4 linked regions of the Macaca mulatta genome follow. The protein of the gene in region 4 purifies or fractionates together with the protein of the main gene of each other region. This does not show direct contact. Links are inferred from orthologs where the notes say so. Each region holds a gene or a part of one and is shown on either strand. Other genes may lie near its edges. The genes, in order: LARP7, RO60, YBX1 and SSB.

The links.
Region 1: the proteins of SSB (region 4) and LARP7 purify together in Homo sapiens (affinity purification with mass spectrometry; 4 studies listed by BioGRID and IntAct, with this or other methods). This does not show direct contact. The link is inferred for Macaca mulatta from reciprocal best matches to the Homo sapiens genes SSB and LARP7.
Region 2: the proteins of SSB (region 4) and RO60 purify together in Homo sapiens (affinity purification with mass spectrometry; 3 studies listed by BioGRID and IntAct, with this or other methods). This does not show direct contact. The link is inferred for Macaca mulatta from reciprocal best matches to the Homo sapiens genes SSB and RO60.
Region 3: the proteins of SSB (region 4) and YBX1 purify together in Homo sapiens (affinity purification with mass spectrometry; 3 studies listed by BioGRID and IntAct, with this or other methods). This does not show direct contact. The link is inferred for Macaca mulatta from reciprocal best matches to the Homo sapiens genes SSB and YBX1.

What each region holds. Positions count from the first base shown.
Region 1 is NC_133410.1:121,879,734-121,885,314, reverse strand, and holds part of LARP7 (la-related protein 7), read right to left. Parts: intron 3,377-5,581; coding exon 3,217-3,376; intron 2,348-3,216; coding exon 2,256-2,347; intron 1-2,255. UniProt on the Homo sapiens protein: RNA-binding protein that specifically binds distinct small nuclear RNA (snRNAs) and regulates their processing and function.
Region 2 is NC_133406.1:50,601,273-50,606,865, reverse strand, and holds part of RO60 (RNA-binding protein RO60), read right to left. Parts: intron 1,446-5,593; 5' UTR 1,427-1,445; coding exon 847-1,426; intron 1-846. UniProt on the Homo sapiens protein: RNA-binding protein that binds to misfolded non-coding RNAs, pre-5S rRNA, and several small cytoplasmic RNA molecules known as Y RNAs.
Region 3 is NC_133406.1:198,061,026-198,066,618, forward strand, and holds part of YBX1 (Y-box-binding protein 1), read right to left. Parts: intron 3,904-5,593; coding exon 3,814-3,903; intron 3,486-3,813; coding exon 3,183-3,485; intron 2,952-3,182; coding exon 2,869-2,951; intron 1-2,868. UniProt on the Homo sapiens protein: DNA- and RNA-binding protein involved in various processes, such as translational repression, RNA stabilization, mRNA splicing, DNA repair and transcription regulation.
Region 4 is NC_133417.1:74,715,827-74,721,986, reverse strand, and holds the start of SSB (lupus La protein), read right to left. Parts: upstream 3,507-6,160; 5' UTR 3,389-3,506; coding exon 3,047-3,388; intron 1,464-3,046; coding exon 1,389-1,463; intron 1-1,388. UniProt on the Homo sapiens protein: Binds to the 3' poly(U) terminus of nascent RNA polymerase III transcripts, protecting them from exonuclease digestion and facilitating their folding and maturation.

The sequences.
Region 1 (5,581 bases), on a different chromosome or scaffold from region 4:
AGATTCACTGATGTTCTACTAGTTTTTTTCTAAGCAATTCCCATTAATTACTAAGATGCTCCTAGTACTCCAACTACACTGGTCTTCTAGTCCCTGACAGTCTTCCCTTATGGTCTGTACATTTTCTTTGCTTCTGCCTGAAAAGCGATACTTCTAAACTTTACTGGGGCTTACTCGCTCACTTCCCTACGGGTCTTGGCTGTAACATCACCTTTGCAGACAGCTTTCCAGACAACCTCAGCTGATACAACGCTCTCCTGCAATACACTTTGTTTTATTTTTCTGTGTAGCACTGGTCATCACCTAAACTATAGGGTTTATCTGTTCGCTTCATGAAAGTAGAGGACTTTGTGATTCATGACTTTACCCGAGGTTACAAGAATGGTGCCTAACACAAGGCACTCAAAAAACATTAGTTGAATTAACTAGCAAACAAGTTGGCTAAACTAATTATGGTCTACTCCTTTTTTCCAACAAGCTTTGCACAGCACTTACTTTGTGTGGTAACCTCCATTTCATTTCACAAGAGTCAACTTGCTACTTCCATAGCTACTTAACAAACTGTGTTAACAACAATCCTGACATCATAACTGAGTTGTGTTCCAACTCGATTTAAGAAATTTCCTAGTCAAAGATGAGCTCTAAATTTTTAAAATGAAAAATAAATGATTTATTCCTAGTTTAAAAAATATATACAATCTAAATGAAATTTCACAGCAATTAGAAGGGTATTATTTAACAAAGTGACTTCACTTCAGTTACCAGTTCTGGATCAGTGATTTTAACATTTGAATAATCTCAAACAGGCTTTGAAATTAACACCTCGTATCCCTGAAAGAATCCTTGGGAAGCACAGGCGGCTTCCCCACCACAGCAAGTTCAGTCTCCTTTCAAGGAAACAAAATTCACAAAGACCAGTAAGACACCTCCTCACAAATCACAATAAATTCTGGGCAATGGAAGAAGGTTGATGAAAAATGCTTGCCTTTTAACTTAAAAAAAAAAATTTTTTTTTTTAAAATAAATATGACCCCAAATCAACAACCTTAGATTACAGGAAATAGGACTTTTAAAGTGCTCACCTAACAAAAAAGGAAGTTCATCTTTTTCTTTTTTCTTACACTTTTATTTTTTTTTTTAATTTTTTTTAATTTTTTTTTATTTTTTATTTTTTTTGAGACGGAGTCTTGCTCTGTCGCCCAGGCTGGAGTGCAGTGGCGCGATCTCGGCTCACTGTAAGCTCCGCCTCCCGGGTTCACGCCATTCTCCTGCCTCAGCCTCCCGAGTAGCTGGGACTACAGGCGCCCGCCACCTCTCCCGGCTAGTTTTTTGTATTTTTTAGTAGAGACGGGGTTTCACCGTGTTAGCCAGGATGGTCTTGATCTCCTGACCTCGTGATCCGCCCGTCTCGGCCTCCCAAAGTGCTGGGATTACAGGCTTGAGCCACCGCGCCCGGCCTCTTACACTTTTATAATATCATTTTGAGTGACAGAAAAATAAAATTACTGAAAGAGGGGCTTGCTTTTTTTTTTTTTTTTTTTTTGAGACGGAGTCTTGCTCTGTCGCCCAGGCTGGAGTGCAGTGGCCGGATCTCAGCTCACTGCAAGCCCCGCCTCCCGGGTTCATGCCATTCTCCTGCCTCAGCCTCCCCAGCAGCTGGGAATACAGGCGCCCGCCACCGTGTCCGGATAATTTTTTGTATTTTTAGTAGAGACCGGGTTTCACTGTGGTCTCGATCTCCTGACCTTGTGATCCACCCACCTGGCTGGGGCTTGCTTTAAATTATTTAAGCTTGTTTGTATTACCTACTGACTATCTTAGAGAAAGAGGAATAAAGCTTATCGTTGCTATAGGAAACACTATGCATAAAGTCTCTCCATCTTATCTGTGGAGCTTCCTATCTTTAGAAACTACATTCTAAATATGTTGTGGTTTTACCATTACGATAATCTTTCTATAATCATTTACCACCAAACTACAAGACATAGCAGCCAGAAATCAAGATTGTTAAAGTATCACTAGTTAAAAAGAAAAACTCTAAATTATAATTATGTATCCTTGTGAGAAAAATAATTTCACACATTTTGAAATCTAGAGAAATGACTTTTTCCTCCCAACCTAAAACATAGTATATACTCAGTAAATCTTTGTTAGGTAATAGCAAAGCTAAGATCATTTTATGACTACCTATACTGACTTTGGCATTAAATGTTCAAAGAAAGTTTAGTCTAAAAAAACAAAAATGAATTAATTACCTTTTCAGTGCCTCTTTTCTTTTCCCGAGGCTGATTAAGTTTTGCCTGTCGATCAACCAAAATCTTCTGCCAATACCTTTGTTCGTGATCACCTTAAAAACAAACAAAAACTCTGATGGATGAAAAGAAGAACACATCTGAAAAACCATATTCAAGGCATTACATTCTCAGTAACAGAACTAGGACAGTTTTTGATTATATTTAATGCCACTTTATACATATTACAGAATAGAAATAAAATTATTAGTTTCGTTAGGTGCGGTGGCTGAAACCTCTAATCCCAGCACTCTGGGAGGACAAGGAGGCAGGATCACCAGAGGTCAGGAGTTCGACAACAGCCTGGCCAACATAGCAAAACCCCATCTCTACTAAAAATTGCCTGGTGCAGTGGCTCATGCCTGTAATCCCAGCACTTCAGGGGGCCAAGGCAAGCAGACCACCTGAGGTCGGGAGTTCAAGACAAGACCAGGCTGACCAACATGGAGAAACCCCGTCTCTACCAAAAACATAAAATTAGCTGGGCAAGGTGGCACATGCCTGTAATCCCAGCTAACCTGGGAGGCTGAGGCAGGAGAATCACTTGAAGCCAGGAGGCAGAGGTTGCACTGAGCTGAGATTATACCATTGCACTCCAGCCTGGGCAACAAGAGCGAAACTCTGTCTCAAAAAATAAAATAAAAATATAAAAATTAGCCAGGCGTGGTAACACACGCCTGTAATCCCAAGTACTCAGGAGGCTGAGGCAGGAGAATCACTTGAACCTGGGAGGTGGAGGTTGCGTTGAGTTGAGATCACACCACTGCACTCCAGCCTGAGCGACAGAGTGAGACCAAAAAAAAAAAAAACAACAACAAAAAACAAACAAACAAAAAACAAAACTAGTTTCATTAGCCAAACTCAGAAAATGTTACCCACAATAAGGATGGTTACAAAAAAAAAAAACACTTCTATGAAGTTTTACCAGAAAGGATCTCGAGTTTCCAGCAGTGTTTCTTGCTAATTTCTGTATATGCATTTATTACTGCTTGAGCATCCTCAGGAGTTTTAAATCTAGCATGGCATTCTGTATCCCCTTCAAGCAAATCAACATAAAGAACTTCTGAGATTGCTGCCAAAGTATCCTGCATTAGAATTAAGTAGAAAGACAAATAAAATTTAAAATGTTTCACAATAATTCTAAAACTATTCCAATGGTTATGCCAGAATATATTATGTAAATAAAGCATTTTGCAGACTAATGAGGAGCAAATATCCTATATCAAACATTTCTTGTAAAGCATGTTCTTAAAAATAGATTTGAATAATATCAACTCTAACAATTTATTTTCCTTTATTTTCTTGAAATCACATCCGTAAAATCTGAACTAGAATGGGAATATTCTATAAGGACAACAGATTTGTAGAGCAGAAAGCAGAAATAGTGTCCCCCAATCCCCAAATCAGGAAGGGTTCACATCTGGGAGTAGTTAGTATAAGGAATAAAATTTAAAAAAAAAAAAAAAGGATTAAGGGAGGTTTGTTTTTACTCACCTGCAGAAAATCACTATGACTTTAAAATATGTGTACAAATCACTCAACTTTTAATAACAACTCATGAAAAACAGTTTTACTGAACCTAAGATACTAGGTTTCCAAATTGTTCAAGAGCTCTTACTTTCTGAAAAAAATACCTAAGCAACCTCTTCTAAACAAGTTGTGGTCACCCAGCAAGGAAAAGTTTTACCTACACTGCCTGCTGTGAGGGCAAATTAACCAGATTCCTGCATTCTTAATCAACTTTTTTTTTTTCCCTCACAGCAGGTTTTACAGAGTATACAATGCATTTATGCAGGAATGTTACACTAATTCCTAATTCATCAACTTCCATTCACAAAGCTAAAGAAATAACTGCAGATTCCTAAATGGGGGAAAAAAATCTTTCTTATCTTGCCTCACTTTAGTTTTAACCTACATTTTCAGGACACAACTAATTTAGATTATGTTCAAATGTTGAATTTTTAGATGTTTGATTTATGGAAAGAATTGAGCAATACCTGGGAGTATTATTTCATCATAGAATAAGACAAGTTTATCAGTTAACAATAAAAAATATATAATAAAATCTATGAATTTCTAGAAGCCAGGGACCAGATCTTAACTCATCCCAACACTCAGCAAACTAGCACAAAACAGGCATTTGGTAACTGTTTGCCAAATTAAAAAAAAAAAAAAGAACTGCAGAGACATATACTTGCTAGTCCTTCCCACTTCTTTATCTAATTAATTAGTACCAAATTTAGATATAAAGCAAGTAAAAAATTCAGTATTGTTGAAATTTGAATGCATTCAGTACTAGTAATGAGTTTTATAACTGACTTCTGAGCATATTCAATTACTACAACTCAAAAGATATTTACTAAATATCCATTATAATGTCAGGCTAATCTCTTGATTTAAAACCCTCAGAATTTAAAACCCATAGAAGGACAAATTAGCCTAGTAATCACATGGGCAAGTCACAGACAGCTGTAACCACCATCACAGCTCAGTTTTTGTTTCAGCAAAATGTAAGTAACTACTAACTGGATTAATGCAGGGATTGATTTTATGATTTTGATGATCATAAATGATGAATTTGTAATTGATATAGTTACCATTTAAATAATAAAAGTTATTTAATGAGTGATTACAAATAACTGAGTAATTTTTTTTATTAAATGTTTTGCAATCTGATTAACCAGAGCGGTATTTACATCCCTCAATTTTCAGCTGTCTCCTGAAATGCAAGTTGGTAATAGCAATTTGGATTTGGCCAAATCCTTCACCAATATTGGAAAGAGAATCAAAATTTGTTTCTTAGTGACAGCTATAGGATTGTAGGACAGCATTTCAGATAAGGAGTGCTTACAGATAAACAACCACCTCAATGATATTCAAGTTAAAACCTGTGACTGATGAGTCTATGTGAAACCAAAACAATATACTAAGTGATGATGAATGTCAGTATAAGAAAATACTTAAAATATGTGGTATGTTACAGAGCATTTCACACTTTTTAAAAAGAAAAGGATTGACTTAAATGGGTCACAGGCAGGGTAAGGGTAAATAAGATACGGTACTCTCACATAAAAGTATATACTTACTTTTCCCTAATAGAAAGAAGTATTGCTACCAGTGTGGTATAAAAGGCTATAGAAGATAGACTGTACAAAACGAAAAAAAGATTATAAACCTGTGTGTACAGCAATTTGTAGCGTAAATTATATAGAACTATGGGTTTTTTGGCACATGTGTGAAAGATTTCTATAGGTCTTCAAAAATATTTTACACTTTTCTATAATTACAAT
Region 2 (5,593 bases), on a different chromosome or scaffold from region 4:
CTCCTGCCCAAGAGTTTTTCTTATTTCTTTCCTTAAAAGGACTAGTAATTATTATAGAGTCAACTAACTTTTCAAAAGTCTCTTTCCATAGATACAGAAACACTGCCCCAAGTTATCAGGTCCCCTGACTGACTGCCTGAAAACAATTAACTTCCTGAACTGTTAAGTTCAGCACTGTACAAGGTATATCCCTTTAGGTTCCAAGGAACACATGTCCTAGGAAGATGGGGAGGAAAAAAAAAGAATGGGCTAGAGAAGTGGGTACAGCATGGCCATCTGCCACCTACTGGCAAGGAGCTGTTTTGCTTATTGCACCTTTTTTTTTTTTTTTTTTTTTTTACTTTTCTACTTAGCATTTCATTGGTTACAGAGCAGTTTTCTATACATGATCTTATGGAATAGTTGTGTACAGTTTACCTAAGTTTTACAAACGATTATACTGAGACCAAATTTGAATATCTGCTGAGTAACTGGCAAAGCTGGAACTCAAAAGCAGTTCCTTCTAATGATCGTACCCATATCCAAGGATTATTGCAACTTTTAATCTGTCCATGCTACTTACGCAGTCCATAATCACTTGGGTGAGCATTCCAGTTAGGACAGTGGCACTTTAAGATTCAGATTATTAATCTATAAACCCGTCATTTGATTCTTGATTATTAATGTCTGGATTGCCTGTGGTAGGTGTGTAATCCCAGGAAGGCATTAAACATATTTGAATTAATGCATGTTTTGAGAAAGAAAGGCTATTTCTAGAAAATATTACACACTTATGTTAAATAAAAATTTGCTATTTATTGGATATCCCTTATCCACCCTTGTTCCCAATGAAGATCTTATGCTTACCTTCACTGGAAGGTTTAAGATGTGACAATCTTAATAGATCTTTGTGAGACCAGCCATTTCTCTGTTTATATTTTGTAACTGCCAGAGCAAGGGCCATGCCACCTTTCTCGTTGTACCAGTCCGCGATAGCCTTCCGGAGGGCACGACCCCACATGCCACATTTCATGCTTTCCTTCAGATCTTTCTTAAACTGGATAAAAGTAAAGAGATGGGTAGGAATGCGGCAAACTTCAGAAACAGCTTTAAATGCTGCTTGTTTTGTGCTTATGTCGGAGCACTGGGAACAAATGGCAAGTGCAAAGAGCATAGGCTCTTGCTTTGTGGTTCTGCCTTCTTGACTAAATAACTTTATTTCTTGTATCACTTCACATCCTCTGCCATCTTCAATCAATCTAATTAAAGCTTCAGCATTTTCAAGGCCCAACTTCTGTTCTTTGATATAATAAGTCCCACCTTCAGAACCGAAACATAAGAACCGGTGTAGTCGATTCATGTCAGTGACTTGCCATACATATCCATCCTGAGAATTGGCTATCTGCTTCTCATTCAATGGCTGCATTTGGTTTACGGATTCCTCCATTTTTTTGTCTTTAGGAAACCTATCAAAAAGGCAAAATGTTATTACAACTAGATGGGCACAATAAAATTAAGAAAGGAAAACAAAATGTAGGTTTACTGAAATGTTATTAACTCTTTTAACAACATCTTTTAAGTTCGATAGTTTTTCCTTTAGTACAAAATCAATATAAATGTCCTGAAGAAAAATCAGGAAAGGCAGAAAATGAAAGAAAAAAACCATATCTGAATATTTTGAAATGACTACTGGTAATATCTTAAGTTTTTTTTGTTTTTTTCGTTTTTTTCTTGAGACAGAGTCTCGCTCTGTCACCCAGGCTGGAGTGCAGTGGCTGGATCTCGGCTCACTATAAGCTCCGCCTCCTGGGTTCACGCCATTCTCCTGCCTCAGCCTCCCGAGTAGCTGGGACTACAGGCGCCCACCACCTCGCCCGGCTAGTTTTTTGTATTTTTTTTAGTAGAGACGCGGTTTCACCGTGTTAGCCAGGATGGTCTCGATCTCCTGACCTTGTGATCCGCCCGTCTCGGCCTCCCAAAGTGCTGGGATTACAGGCTTGAGCCACCGTGCCCGGCCGGTATCTTAAGTTTTTTAAATGTTTTTGTTTTATATTCCTATTTTTATAACCTAAAGAAACTGAAAGCCCTTCACAGCAAACAAACAAGATTATAGCCACAGTGGTGTGATAATCAGAAGCAACTGAGGAGTCACCTTTTTGAGATACAGTGTGCTGCTTCAGAGATTAAGCAGGCAGGTCAGTATGGCGTCTTGAGGCCCACACAGAGAATAAAAGAAGGGAGGGAAGCAATAGTAGTGGGTACTAAGAAAGATCGTACTCCTTGAAGGATTGTGTAAACATTTTTGGTTGCCGATCTAACATTCATTCTTCCCCCTTCTCTCTTCTCCTCTTGTTGGCCTCATATCCTTCAAAGGAGGCTAGGCCTTTCCCTAGCCCCAAGGGATGGATCTTTATTGCTCTAAGCCAGTGGTTCTCAAACTCAGTGTACATCAAAATTACTAGAAGTTCTTACTGAAACACAGATTGCTGGGTCAGCCCTCCCAGGCACTGCCCTGAGTTTCTTTCATAATTTAGTAGGTCTCCAGTGAGGCCTAAGCATGTATACTTATCACAAGTCTCGGGTGATGCTGCTGCTGCTGCTGCTCGACCCAGGCCCAATAATCATGGTGCTCTCCTTGCCGCATGACTGGTATAGGGAGTTGGGCATGTGTCATGACTCTGGCCAGTACGACATGGTAAATCAGCTTTACCATGGTAAAGCTGGTAAAATCATGGTAAAATCATGGTAAAGAACACTTTTGAGGTTTTCTTCATTCTCAAAAGGGGGCTCAGGCTCTTAAAAAGAAATGTTCCCTTTTCTGCCTTCTGAAATTTTCATTTGCAAGTCATGCCTGGAGTGGTAACAACCATCTTGAGACCTTGAGATAAGCCAGCTTAAAATGGCACACCAATATATAAAGATGGCAGAATAGAAAAAAACAGAAAGTACCTAGGTCCTTGATATTGGGTTACCTGAAACTGCCCTGCTTATACATTTCCTATTATGTCATAAATGTATCTTACTGTTTAAGCCATTTTTAGGTTTATTGTTTTATGTCATCTGTAACTACCCTCACTCTACTCCTTCCATTAGCTCTAAAACTCCTAGAACTAGCTATCTGGAAACAATATCCCTCTTTATCCTTCTAGTGGAGGACCAACAATTGTCACTTCATCATCAGTCCACCACTATTCTTAGTACAGTATCACTGTTTATGGAGGTCTTTCAATCTGTCATGTTATTTCGGTGCACTGGGCTTCTGTCCATGGCAAACAAAACAGCACAACCAACAAAAACTTCAACCAGCATTTACTGAATAGATACTATGTGTGAGACATGAAGGCAATTTCTCTGCCATTAAAGAAACTGAAAAAAAAAATTGTTCTCCTTATCGCAGGGAAATACACTCATTTGTGGAGATAGAATCACAATGCAAACTGTAATTAAGTGCTGTAGTAGAAAAGTATTATGAGTGAGCAAGGGAGTATAAAATAATACTGTCTAAATAATCCAGAAAGATTTGAGGAGAGAAGGCAAACTAAAAAACTGATAAAGTTTAGGGAAGGCGCTCCAGGAAGAGGTTTCTGAAATCCTAATCTGTCTTTATATTCTAGAAAAGAAACTGTCTAAGCATCCTGTAGAGCCATACAGACATGTTGACAGATATGGCCATAACTTAAAGAGGAACACAAGGTAATTAAGAAGTTTTGTTTTGAAGACCATCCTTACTTGAACATGTTTATATATTACGAGGAAGGCTAAGGATAAAATCTTGGTGAATATTAACAACTAAGAGCTAATGAGAGAAGGGCTTTTTAAAGAGGCAGAAAAGGAGGTGCAGAGTTGAAGAAAACTAATGGACCACGAGGAAGAGAACTTCAAGGAGTGAATGGTTGATAATTTCAAATGGTCAGAGGAAAAGTAAATAAAAGGCTAGAAAATGATCTTGGATTTACCAAGTAGGAGTGACTAGTGAGAGTAACTGCAGTAGAGTGGTACAAGAAGTAGCTTGATTACAGTGAGATCAGGAAGATATGCAGTGAGGAAACTTCACAGCTAGACTACTCTTTGTAGACACAAAAACTATGAATGAAAGTAAGAGAGAGGATGGGACTTAGAGGAAAAATCTTTTTACCTTTTTCAACGGGAAGATGCTAAGATTGAAAGATTCAATTTGGAGAGGTGAAGATACAGTAGAGAAGGGGGATAACTGAAGGAATTAGATTCCTGAAAGAAATGAGACAGAATGAGCTTAGAGCATCCAGGTTGAGACTGGCCTACTAACAGCAAAAGAGATACTTCCTTTATCTTTTAAGGGTGAAGAGTATATGTAAAGAGAGATTTGAGGGAGTGAGGGATAAGGAAATTGAAGACATTCCCCTCTGACAGGAGATGTAGAATGCCAAATGGTATGTGGAGAAATTTGGTAGAGATGGGAGGAATGAAAGACTGGGTCTCAGAGAGGGGAACACATAGTGGTGTAGGGGGATAAGTGCATGGAAGAATGGAGAACCTCACATTGTGAATGTGACTGTGACTGAGGGGTACAGTGATCTGAATTGTGTTGGGAATATTAGTGTCAATATTCCAAATAAGATTCTAGTACAAATTTGCTTATGTTAGTGGAAGCCTGGGTCTCAGGTGGTATCAGAGATGTAATGATCATATTAGTCATTAGGGACAAATTTGTAGTTACTGAATACAGCACAGGCTGGAACTCCTGGTGTAGTGGATGCCTCTTCTTCTATTTATTATTATCCTCTTTTCAATTTAGCTTTTATCTCTACCTTTCGATCCAAAACACTTTAAGAAGACTAACATGCTTCACAAAGACTGATACCTTAATTGCCAATTCCAGTAGAAAATGCTATGTTTTTCTGATCTTCACATTGCATAGACTCTGCTAGTCTCTCCCTTAGCTTTCATAAAAACAGTCTCTGGTGGCACTTCAACCTGTCTACTTCTACTTATTAGTTATATTTGTTAGATGAGTAACACTGAAATGACATCTAATATCAGATAATTCTACTACACCTGCTTTCCTGCACCAAGGACCAACTGGTGGGATTTAAAAGGTCCCAAACCAAACCTCAAAATTCCCTTCCCCTTCAAATTCTTTTCTTTGTATTATTCATTGTGACCACATGTAGCTACATTATTGGTTCCCTTGAGAGTAGAAACCAAATCTTATCATTTTTGTCTCCTCTTTTGTATTGCTTTTATGTAATTAGTAATACATACTTAAAGCCAAATATCATTAAAGTTGACTTTCTGAATCATTTCCCAAATAATCATGCACAATTGGTTTCTCTTTCCCATAACACATTTTGAGAATAAAAGCCTCAGTATGTGTAATTCAATATATAATACAAGTCTTTAAGATAAACTCTGTAGAGAATGATAAATGTACTATATGCAGGTAGTGAAGAATATAATCAAGAAAAAACAAAGTTTTAAAGAAAAGTAGTGAATGCTGAGTAAAAATGTCATCTAAGAACAATATTTCCATTTTTCTAATATATTTAATACTAGGTATTCAAGTACTTTTCTAGAGCAAGCAGCAAAATGAACTTCTAAATCTATAAAGGATGTCTAAGAGGTAATCTCTAAGTGT
Region 3 (5,593 bases), on a different chromosome or scaffold from region 4:
TCATGGGAATAAATTCACATTTACCTTTGTACATTCTAAAACTCTTTCCCCACATCTTTTGGAACTCATGATGAATCTTCAACAAAATTGTTCTGACTTTTCTCTGTAACCCTCCAGTGGTGACTGTTCTAACCTTATTGTGGCTTCTAAATCAACTCTCCTAGCTTCTAAAAACTGTAGGCGTTCCATCTTATTTTGGATTCTGCTCCATTTACTATCTTTTTCTTATTGCAGTTATTATTAAGGTTCGAGGATAACAACTTCTAATAACCTGGGCTTTCAGACCGACCTCCCAGTCCAGCTGTTTTCTACCTGGGTTTTCTCAGTTATACCACCCACCTTTCCAATTATGTACCTTCTGATTTTTCCTAGTTAATTCCTTATTGTTTTCTCATTCTTCATCTAGGACCTGTAATACAGCGATCCTATCACCTGTTCATCTCACTCCAAGGTTGGGCACAGTGGCTTACACCTGTAATCCTAACACCTGGGGAGGATCACTTGAGGGCAGTTCAAGACTGCTTGAGTAACACAGTACAACTCCATGTCTACAACACAATTTTTAAAAACCCCTCATGTTCCCCTTTTCTCCCCTCTTTATCCAAGTATAAAGTCCACCATTAATCATATGACCAATCCCTACCCCAGGGTCTAAGTCTGGATAAACCAATGCCAGAGAAATCCAACTCTCTGCCCAATCTGAGCCTGATGCTCAAATGGCTAGAAACACAGAGCCAAGCTGGGTGAACTCACTTCTAATTTATGATTGTTATCCTATTACTTACAAATTTACCATCTCTATTTTCTCTGCTACAGGGTTCTTTGCCCCAAACTTTTCAAACTTCCTCTTCTTTTGACTCAATTGAGCAAACAAAGGCTTCCATGTCTTCCCATTAAACATGTTTGCCCATGTATTCTTGTTTCTTACACATGAAAACATCAGGTTTCTAACAACAGGTCAACATTTTCACCTGTGGGCAAAACCCAACTCGCTCTGAGGAAGAAAACATTCCAGCAGTCACTTTCCTGCCATCAACCGTTATCCTCGATTGCATTTCAGCCTATAAATATTATTTCTCAAAAAAAACCCTCCCTTTTTCACTCCCCATTTTCCCCTACTACCTGTCTCCTTTTCAGCAAAACTTGTACTACACTCTGTCTTAAGACTTCTCTTTCAATTTGCTCTTGAACCCACACCAGCCAGGATTTTACCACACCACTCCATGCATTAGGCGCAGCATGTTTCATTTACTCTCATTTGAACAAAAGATTCCTGCAGAGTTTGGAAAGTCTAGCATTCATTAATAACTTCAAAGCAATTATATGTTACTTCTGCTAACTATCTGGCAGGATTGAGCATTCTAAACATGGAAACACGTAGACATTAAGTCTAACTTAAATGAAATGGCAAAAACCTTTGCACTGGAGGGGTAACAATGGATAAAGATACCTTTCTAAGAGACAAGTCAATCTCAAGCTTCTTGTTTGTCAATATAAAAACAATTTGCTCAACAGTGAACTGAAGTACTGAATACAAACACAAAATTATACTATTTTTAAGGACATCTATGAAACTAGTTTGGCAAAACATTTAAGCTCTTCAGTGTAATAAAAAGGTAAACCAAAGATTCTGCTGCTGGAACCCATGGACTTAATACATGAGAGCCTATTTTAGATCTACTTTGAAAAATAAAAACCCATCTATCTTCAACATCCAGCATCTGGCTAACACAATCTCCTGGCAGAAAACTGAATCAGAGATCTTCAATTCTAGTAGTGATCAGTTAGGATCCCAGCTCTTTTAACTGAAAACTCAGGACAGGACATATATTAACACAAGAAATATGATGACATCAGCTGCTCTTGCAAAACTCTCAATGTACACGTGCTGATAAGTATGTAATACAACCTCAACTAGATTCCCTAGTTCCTAAAACTACACTAAGTGCTCCGACTTTTGTAAAATTTAAAAACCTATATACAGAAACCCCCTCAAAATATACTCACAGTATATTTTGGATATGTTGGATACTTCTAGAATAATAAACTTGACACTTAAAAATTTGGGGATTTAAAAGTTGTGATTTAAGTGATCAGTTAAGATGCATTATTACTGTATTGGTTTGATTCTTCAGAGGTACCTGTCAGATTTTAGGGATCACCTATGAAAACTTAATACTTCAATAGCAAACCCTCACAGAAAGAACGATTACACCATTCTATCCTACCATCGTGGGACTGGGAACGCTGCCTTAAAGCACACCACAGCATGGACTAAAATACGCTTGGCTCACGGAATTTTTCCTCCATTACTCTAATAATGACATCTATTAATAAGATTTCTAATACCCATTCAAGCAGATAGATTAGTTGTCTAATGATAGACCAGATTTTTCCTCCCAGAATGTAAATTCTTCATGGAGCAATTTCATTTTGCAACTTTGAGCTGACATCCCAACTCCAAAAAAAGGGGGGGTACATACCTAAACTAAGAATTAGTGGAAGATTATGTATGCCATTTCAAGTGGTTAACACTTACTGCTGATTCTTCACTAATGCCATGGTACAATTCAGATACTCCTAATGCTTTCCTTTCTCCCTACCAAGGAGGCAGGTTTAAAAGACGTGGTTTAAAATATTATCTTACCTGTTCAAGGATAGAAAATTTGAAATTCCATACCCTCATCATTTAAAAAAAAAAAATTTATGTATAAAGCTGACCTCATCTATATGAGCTGTTTTTAACAGGTTCACCTCTTAGGCATCTGATGAAAGGAAACGTGAAGTGTTAACAGAAAAATGAGTCCAAAAGTCTGCGGGAGAGGCATGATATTGCTGAGTTCTAACAGAGGTTTATGTGGACCATACCTGCGGAATCGTGGTCTATATCCCCGATACATATTCTGCCTCACTGGTCTACCTTGTTCTCCTGCACCCTGGTTGTCAGCACCCTGAAAAAGATAATGGAAATCAAGGCTACTGGGTCAGTAACATAATAACCTTACCAGGAAATCCAGAGTTAAAAAACAAACAAAAAATCAGACCATCTAGTAACTGTGACTACACTATAAATTAATCCTGTTAGTTCTTACTAGGAATCAAAGGTGCTTTCCATATGATTAACAGCTCTAAACAGTCCTACCAGAACTTATCACATTGCTGTTGCTGATGGTGAAACTTACCTCCATCACTTCTCCCTGCACAGGAGGGTTGGAATACTGTGGTCGACGCCCATAGGGTCTCCGCATGTAGTAAGGTGGGAACCTTCGCCTGCGGTAGGGCCGGCGTTGTTGGGCCTGGCCTTCGGGAGCACTCTCCGATCCCTCGTTCTTTTCCCCACTCTCACTATTCTGGTAATTTTGCTGGTAATTGCGTGGAGGACCCCTACGACGTGGATAGCGTCTATAATGGTTACGGTCTGCTGCATATTTACTGCCTTGAACTGGAACACCACCAGGACCTGTAACATTTGCTGCCTCCGCACCCTACAAAAGCCATTACATATTGATAGTGACAAAGGAAATCAGAACACTTTCAACAAATTTCAAACAAAGCAAAAAACAAAGTTAAGGAAAACAAAAAGGGGGGTGGGCGACTGCGTGGCCAGGGGTGCACAGAAATGACTAAATATCAGTTCCTCACTGTTCTGAAGAGATTGCCCTCTAACTGCAGCCAGAACATTAGGCTTGATGCACCTGTGTTCATGAGGTCACCTGAACACATCCATCCACATTAGAGCCACCATCCTAACAGATGAGACCTCCAAAATATTTCCATACTGAAGTCAAACCTTTACACAAAAAGCATCCTCACCTTTTCTCCTTCAACAACATCAAACTCCACAGTCTCTCCATCTCCTACACTGCGAAGGTACTTCCTGGGGTTATTCTTCTTTATGGCAGTCTAGTAATATCACATTCCAAAAACAGATTAACAGGGGAGAATAATGTGCTTTTTCATTTAAAATGTACCAGAGTCAATATTATTTTAGCTTGGATATACACTTAAGATTTGCTTTAAATAAGACCAAATCATCAATAAATTTGGGAAAGCAGGGACCACGCTATCCCCAACTTCAACAAAAACACTCCAATCATACAAGGCCCCAGCATTTTACCACTATTTACAAAACTAAAACAAGTAATTTAACACTCAAGACAGACACAACATTTTAAAAACTGCTTTTTGCAAAAGCATTATATGTAATTTTGAACAAATGAGGATCTCCATCTATCCCCTAAAGACTGCACTTAATAGTAGAAGGTGGCCCCACATGGGTCAGTTTAGATGACAGGCGAGTTGGGTTTTGCATGCTTCACAGCTGACCAAACCAACTTTGCCCCTGTGTTACCATATCAAACTCAATTACAAATGTCAACCCAAATCCCTTCCAATCTGATAATACGTCAGTGGAAATGCAATTCACGTGTATTAACTATGTCATTCTTTATATGATCTGACTGCATGGAATTGTTACTTATCACCTCTCCAGCATTCAATAAATCTTGTATTAGAGACTTGTTGCTTCTACTTCTCAGACTGTTAGGAGAAGGGAGGAAGAGTAACATCTCACGTTTCTATGAAATTTTTTTGCAATATTCTTTCACTTACTACCTATTCAATCTCATTATGAGACAGGACATGTGAAAGTATTGTTAATCCCATTTTACAGATAATGTAACAGGCTTTAAAGTTAGGTGACTTGCCCAAGGTCACACAGTTAGTAAGGAGACTTTCTAAACCCAGGTATTGGGTCTCCAAATTCCATGTTCACTCCAAATCCCAGCTATATCCATTACAGGATCACTCACGCATTTCCACTGCAGAGGAGACAGGACAACCAACGAATCTGAGGCCAATTAAGTGAAGCTGCCCAGAACTGCAGTCTCCTTGATACACCACTAAGACCTGAGCAGCCAAAGTCCCAGGAAACAACTACATGTTGAAACCACTTCCAAAAAAATGAAAGCTATTGGTGGCACCTTGTGAATCAGTACAACCGGGTGAGTTGAGTCAAATAATTGATCTCATCTGTCATTTAAACTGTCACATAGTTTTCATACCTTTCATATATAGCCAACTATCAATTACCTGCAGTCATAGGGGATAGCAGAAGTACGGATAATTAAAATCCCAACTCTTTATTTTTATCAACATCTCCAACCCCTGCCCCAACCCCAACCCTTAAGGGTTGCCAACAGGCAACAAGACTGATAAACTTTGCTGTCTCTTGTTCCTAAGTCTACATATTCTTTTGAACATGTAGAAGGGGAATAAGGAACAGGTGAGCTGTGTTCACCCAAACAAGAATACCAATTTTATAAAACATTTGCTTTAAAATAACATTTGTCTGAAGTAGTCCTGTATTTATCTACATTTAGAATTTTAAATGTTTCCATAATTAAAATTGACCCTGAACTACCTGATTGGGTTGTGGATGTACTAGAAATTGATACAGCTTCCTCCTTGCCATTGAATGCTGTGTAGGACACTTCAGTGAGCTACAAAGCACCAACCTATGACAGCCCTTCCTATGAAACATGCTGCCATACAAGCTAGTATCTTAATTAAATGTGAGTATGGAAATTGACTT
Region 4 (6,160 bases):
CAGAAAAAACCCACACCAAACAATATGATCTGAGGGATTCCTTAGCAAGAACATAAGTTTAAAGATAATTTCCTATGCAACCATTATTGATATTGTAAAGATTTAAAGGTTTTTTTCTTTTTGACTTTAACTGAACAAAGAACGATTTGCAAATCAGGAAGCCTCCCCAGCCAGAGTATGCTCACAAAGACTCTCAAGTTTCTTCCCCCTGACCCCCCAAAACAGTATCTCACTCTGTCATCCAGGCTTGAGTGCAGTGGTATGATCACAGCCACTGCAGCCTCTACCTTCTGGGCTCCATCAATCCTCCCACCTCGGCTTCCCAAGTAGCTGGGACTACAGGCAAACCGCTAACACACTCAGCTAATTTTTAAAAATTTTTTGTAGAGATGGGGCCTCATCATGTTGCCCAGGCTGGTCTCTAACTCCTGGACTCAAGCCATCCTCCTGCCTCCGTACTGCAAAGGTACTGAGGATCACTTGAGGTTATTACGTTAACATAAACATAATACCTAAATTTGAAAAAATGCTAAGAGGAGTTTGAAAACAGATACTATATTAAAATTACTGGCCAGGCACAGTGGGTCACACTTGTAATCCCAGCACTTTGGGAGGCTGAGGTGGGCAGATCACCTGAGGTCTGGAGTTCGAGACCAACCTGGCCAACATGGTGAAACTCCGTCTCTACTAAAAATACAAAAATTAGCCTGGTGTGGTGGCGTGTTCCTGTAGTCCCAGCTATTTGGCAGCTGAGGCAGGATAATCATTTGAACCCAGGAGGCAGAGGCTACAGTGAGCCGAGACTGTTGTAGTGAGTCAGGATAGTGCCACTGCACTCCAGCCTGGCCAACAGAGTGAGACTCCAGCTCAAAAAAAAAAAAATACTATATTAAAGTTACAATAGCTGAGAACTGACTGGGCAGAAAAAAACTACGAAGATCATCAAAAATATAGTGTTATTTAACAGGGAAGGTACTTTACCAAGGACTTTTATGTTACTTATGTGTCAGGCATTCTTCTAAGTACTTAACATTATATTCACTAATCCTCCAAACTACCTTATGAGGAGGGAACTACTATTATCCTCATTTTACATGGGACTAAGAAGCTAAAATTTTATATGAGACTATGAAACTAAAATTTTAAAAAGATTAAGTAACTAGTTTATAGTGTTACCTTTTGAAATGTTTGTAACATCTTAAGTTTCACAACCTGGCTCCACCAGTATAAAACTGTATGCTATTATATGTTCATCTAAGAATCAAAGGCAAACCAAATGTTGAATATGTCCATATACTGAAATGAAATGTTCTTTCTGTATTTGTGTTGCGGTCCTACATTTTCTTTCAAGGAACTTGTTTTTGCAGTTTATAGCACAGGAATCATACCTCAATTTGATGACAGATTTTGGCCTCCAGGGCAGCCATCTTTTCATTATCACCATTTTCAGCCATTGTGGCTATCTGTAAAATTTCCCAAATTAGCATAAAGTTATTTTTTTATATAAAACTCAAGACTAGAAAGAGAATGTTTACAAAGTATTACTATCCCATTGTTTTCTTAAAAAATCAGGAATTTCTGTTTTCACAGGTTGTTTATTTACTCAATTCTCAAATATCTCAACGAAGCAACACTTTGGAATAAGTGATGAAAAAATCTAAAAACTATAAAAAACCTCTCTCTCTTTCAGTAAATCACTACCCCATCTTCTATAACAAGAAACTGTTTATCTCACTTGGCTGGTCAAGAAAGATTTACGGAAAAAAACTCCAATCACTTACTAACCATTTCCAGCTTTAAACAGATATCTGTCAGTATGTCACCATGGCTCGCTGTACACTTGTTTGGTTTGGTTCACTTTCTTTTTTCTTTTTTGGAGACGGAGTCTCGCTCTTGTTGCCCAGGCTGGAGTGCAATGGCGCGATCTCGACTCACTGCAATCTCCGCCTCCCAGGTTCAAGTGATTTTTTCGTCTTAGCCTCCTGAGTAGCTAGAATTACAGGCACCCGCCACCTCGCCTGACTAATTTTTGTATTTTTAGTAGAGACGGGGTTTCACCATGTTGGTCAGGTTGGTCTTGAATTCCTGACCTCAGGCGATCCACCCGCCTCGGCTTCCCAAAGTGCTGGGTTTACAGGCGTGAGCCACCGCGCCCGGCCTTATTTCTTTTAAAATGCAGTCACAACTGACTTACCCAAACCTTGTATTATAACTTTTAAGGTGAAAAACGTTACAGTTCCTTAGATACTCTATGCTCAGGAACACACGAAAACAAAAATGGGAGAATGTGGTCACACTAGCAAAACATTAAACTGGGGAGTATGCCTACTAATTTACTAATACATTGGATAGCCAGTTTCCTGTTTCGTATTCCTGACATTAGCATTGCAGGAAAAAAAGGAGGCTGTGCTATTGGTTTGCTAGAAATTACAAACCAAGTCTTCTAATTACAAAGTACTTGCCTCTAGGACTCTACTAAGTCACCCAGTCATCCCAATTGTACAAAAGTTATGTGAACAAATTATCAAGAATATTGCCATTAGTTGACTCTAGTTATGAACTGATGTAGGTACACTTCTTGGAAACATCGCCTGACACACTGCAATTGCATTCGCTACCCTGGATACACATAGGAAGCACTTGCAACGGGGTACTGCGTGATCCACATCCCCCTAGAGAAATTATTCAATTTCATGCATTGTCTTGTCTATCACAATTTACACTCCTAAGTTACCACAGTGATCTAGAGGCCCCTACAAAGCAAACGATGAAATAAAAGAACTATTTAGAACTTGCAAAATCTATTTGGCCTAATTTTGGAAATGCGCTTCATCAGATAATTTTCCAGAATGCACGACTGTAAGTGAAATATTACCCACGTTTTCCCGTTTCACACCGAAACCTGATGTGAGCGATGAAGGCCCTAACAGACCAAGAGTGACACTGGGGTACATCTGCGGCCCAAAGTTCTTTGGCCTCCAGTCAGTCCCATAGGCTCCACAGAATCCTCCGACGTTTACCCGTAACCACCTCCGCAGAAACTTACAGAGATGGCCAGAAGCCTTCGGTGAGACCAGAACGCGGTGGAGGTAAAAAAAACCGAAAAGACGCAGTGGGGATGGGGGCAGCCACAGTCCCGTCTCTCAGCAACCGCGGAACTGCCTGGGCACCAGCCACATGCGGGGAACCCCAGGATCCCGCATTCCTCGCGGGGGCGGCCTCGCCGCCGCCCGCGCCCCCTCCGCTCCGCCGCCTCCGGCTGAGGCCCACGCGGCGCTCGGCCTGAACGTGAGGAAGGCGAGGGAAGGACGGACGCCGCGAGAAGCAGTAAGGAACGAAAACGCGCAGTCGCGCACCAGCAAAGCGGGCCCTTATTGTAGCTTCTCATTAGCCACCAAGAATTGCTCACCTTTAAGGTTCCGGCCCACAGAGCCGCGCCACAGGCTCACACACAGGAACACCAACGACTCCACTTCCCAGCTCCGCCGGCCGGCCTAAAGCGCTCCAAGAAGATGGGGACCGTCCCAGCAGCCCTTGCGGCCTGGGTGGGCGGGGCCAAGGACGAGCTGGAGCGGTCCCTGTGCTCTGAGCATGCGCGACTGCCGGGGCCTCCCAGGGACCCTGGAGTCCCCGCCCTCAATCGCAAACAGATTGGGTTAAAAAGTACCGCAGGGTATAGGGGAATGGCTGCTAGTTTGTGTTAGTATAAACATTTATTTTTAAGTATTTCTGGACGGCGTCTGTACCCCAGCCCTTCCTTTGGCCCTCCATTCATATGAAGTGTTTTGGGTTTCTCTTCAGATCTTTTCCAAAGATGTGTGTGAATACACACACATATCGTGTAGTAGTTCTCAAAAAAAAAAAAGGACAAGTGAAATTTTAAAAAAAAATCAAAGATCCATGTAATCTCAGTTTTGAAGACAGTACAGTACAGCGTGTAAAAACTGGGTGTCTGGAATCAGACTGCCTGCTTCAAATAATGGTCCTCCTCCTGCTGTGAAACTGTGATCTCGGGCAAGTTGTTCAACTTCTGTGTTCCTCAGGTATAAATAGGACCAATAATAAATACTACCTAGTTCATACAATTGCTGTAAGTATTCAACTTGATGCAATATTGTCAACCTAAAGGGAAAAACTGAGGCAAAATTAGTATAAGTAGACAGTTTATTTGAGCCAAGTTTGAGGACTGCCACGTGAGAGCATGGATTCAAATTGCTCTGAATATATGCTCTGATTAGCAGCCCTTACAAGTAGATTTTTAAAGAAAAAAGAAGAGGCAATTCCTAAGTTGTTTACCAATAATTTACATTACAATAACATAAGCTATTGATTGGCTATACATTGTTCTTTGTATCACAAATTCCAAGAACATGAAAATGGATGAAGCAGGTAGTAAGAAACATAGTGACGTTAAACAATTGCCCCCCAAGCATGGTGATTAATATAGTTTAGTTCTCTGTCCCCACACAAATCTCATCTCAAATTGTAATCCGCATAATCCCCAAGTGTGGAGGGGAGGAACCACACACATGGTGGGAGGTGATTGGATCATGGGAATTGTCAGGCCTCTGAGCCCAAGCCAAGCCATCGCATCCCCTGTGACTTGCACGTATAGACCCAGATGGCCTGAAGTAACTGAAGAATCACAAAAGAAGTGCAAATGCCCTGCCTCGGCTTAACAGATGACATTGCACCACAAAAGAAGTGAAAATGGTCGGTCCTTGCCTTAAGCGATGATATTATCTTGTGAAATTCCTTTTCCTGGCTCATCCTGGCTCAAAAAGCTCCCCCACTGAGCACCTTGTGACCCCCCCACTCCTGCCCACCAGAGAACAACCCCCCTTTGACTGTAATTTTCCTTTACCTACCCAAATCCTATAAAACAGCCATACCCTTATCTCCCTTCGCTGACTCTCTTTGCGGACTCAGCCCGCCTGCACCCAGGTGAAATAAACAGCCGTGTTGCTCACACAAAGCCTGTTTGGTGGTCTCTTCACACGGACCCACGTAACAGGGATGGTTTCCCCCATGCTGTTCTCCTGGTGGTTTTATAAGGCAGTTTTCCTTGCTCTTCCTTGCTCCCTCTCACCTGCCACTGTGTAAGACATGCCTCTTCCCCTTCCACCATGATTGTAAGTTTCCTGAGGACTCACCAGACATGCGGAATTGTGAGTCAATTAAACCTCTTTTCTTTATGAATTAACCAGTCTTGGGTATGTCTTTATTGCAGTGTGAGACCTGACTAATACAGGGGTGTAGGGACATGACTGAAGTCCCAAACTCATCTCTCGCTGTGCCTGATAAATTCTGCATACCTCACATAGTTCAGACTGCTCTGGGCTCTTTTTCTTTTCTTAAGGTCAATGAGAAAAAACATATTTAACAGCGTTGTGCTCAGGTAGTTTAAATTCAAATTAATTAGATTATCTTTTATCCACTCAACGAATATTTAGTCTCTATTTTATGCCAGACACAATTGAAATCTTCATTCTTGTTTTGATCAAGTCAGTGAGAATACACGTATTTAACAGAACAAATAATATGAGTGTCAGGGTACTCTCATTCATCCATTCAGCAAACTATTTATTACATACCTGTTAATGTCCTGGAGGCTTAACACTGGGAATAGAAAGAAGAGCCAGACTCTGCCTAGAGACAGAGCTACCTAAACAAATATATCTGCTTCTTTATGCCCCACAACATCTAGGCAGAACTGCAGGTACAGCCTATTATCAGAAATCACACCTGCTAAAAACATTTATTTCATGTTCTCATCAGGTACCTGGTCCTTTGCTCTCCCTTTCTTGTCTTTTGTTTTGTTTTTCGTTTTCTTTCTTCTTCTTTTTTCTTTTTTTTTAGACAGTCTCCCTCTGTCGCCGAGGCTGGAATGCAGTGGCACCACCTCGGCTCAGGGCAACCTCTGCCTCCCAGATTCAAGTGATTCTCCTGCCTCAGCCTCCTGAGTAGCTGGGATTACAGGTGCCTGCCACCACACCTGGCTAATTTTTTTATTTTTAGTAGATTCAGGGCTTCGCTATGTTGGCCAGGTTGGCCAGTTTGGTTTCAAATTCCTGGACTCAGGTGATCCACCCGCCTCAGCCTCCTGAAGTACTGGGATTACAGGCATGAGCCACCGCGTCTGACCCTTTTCTTATCTTTT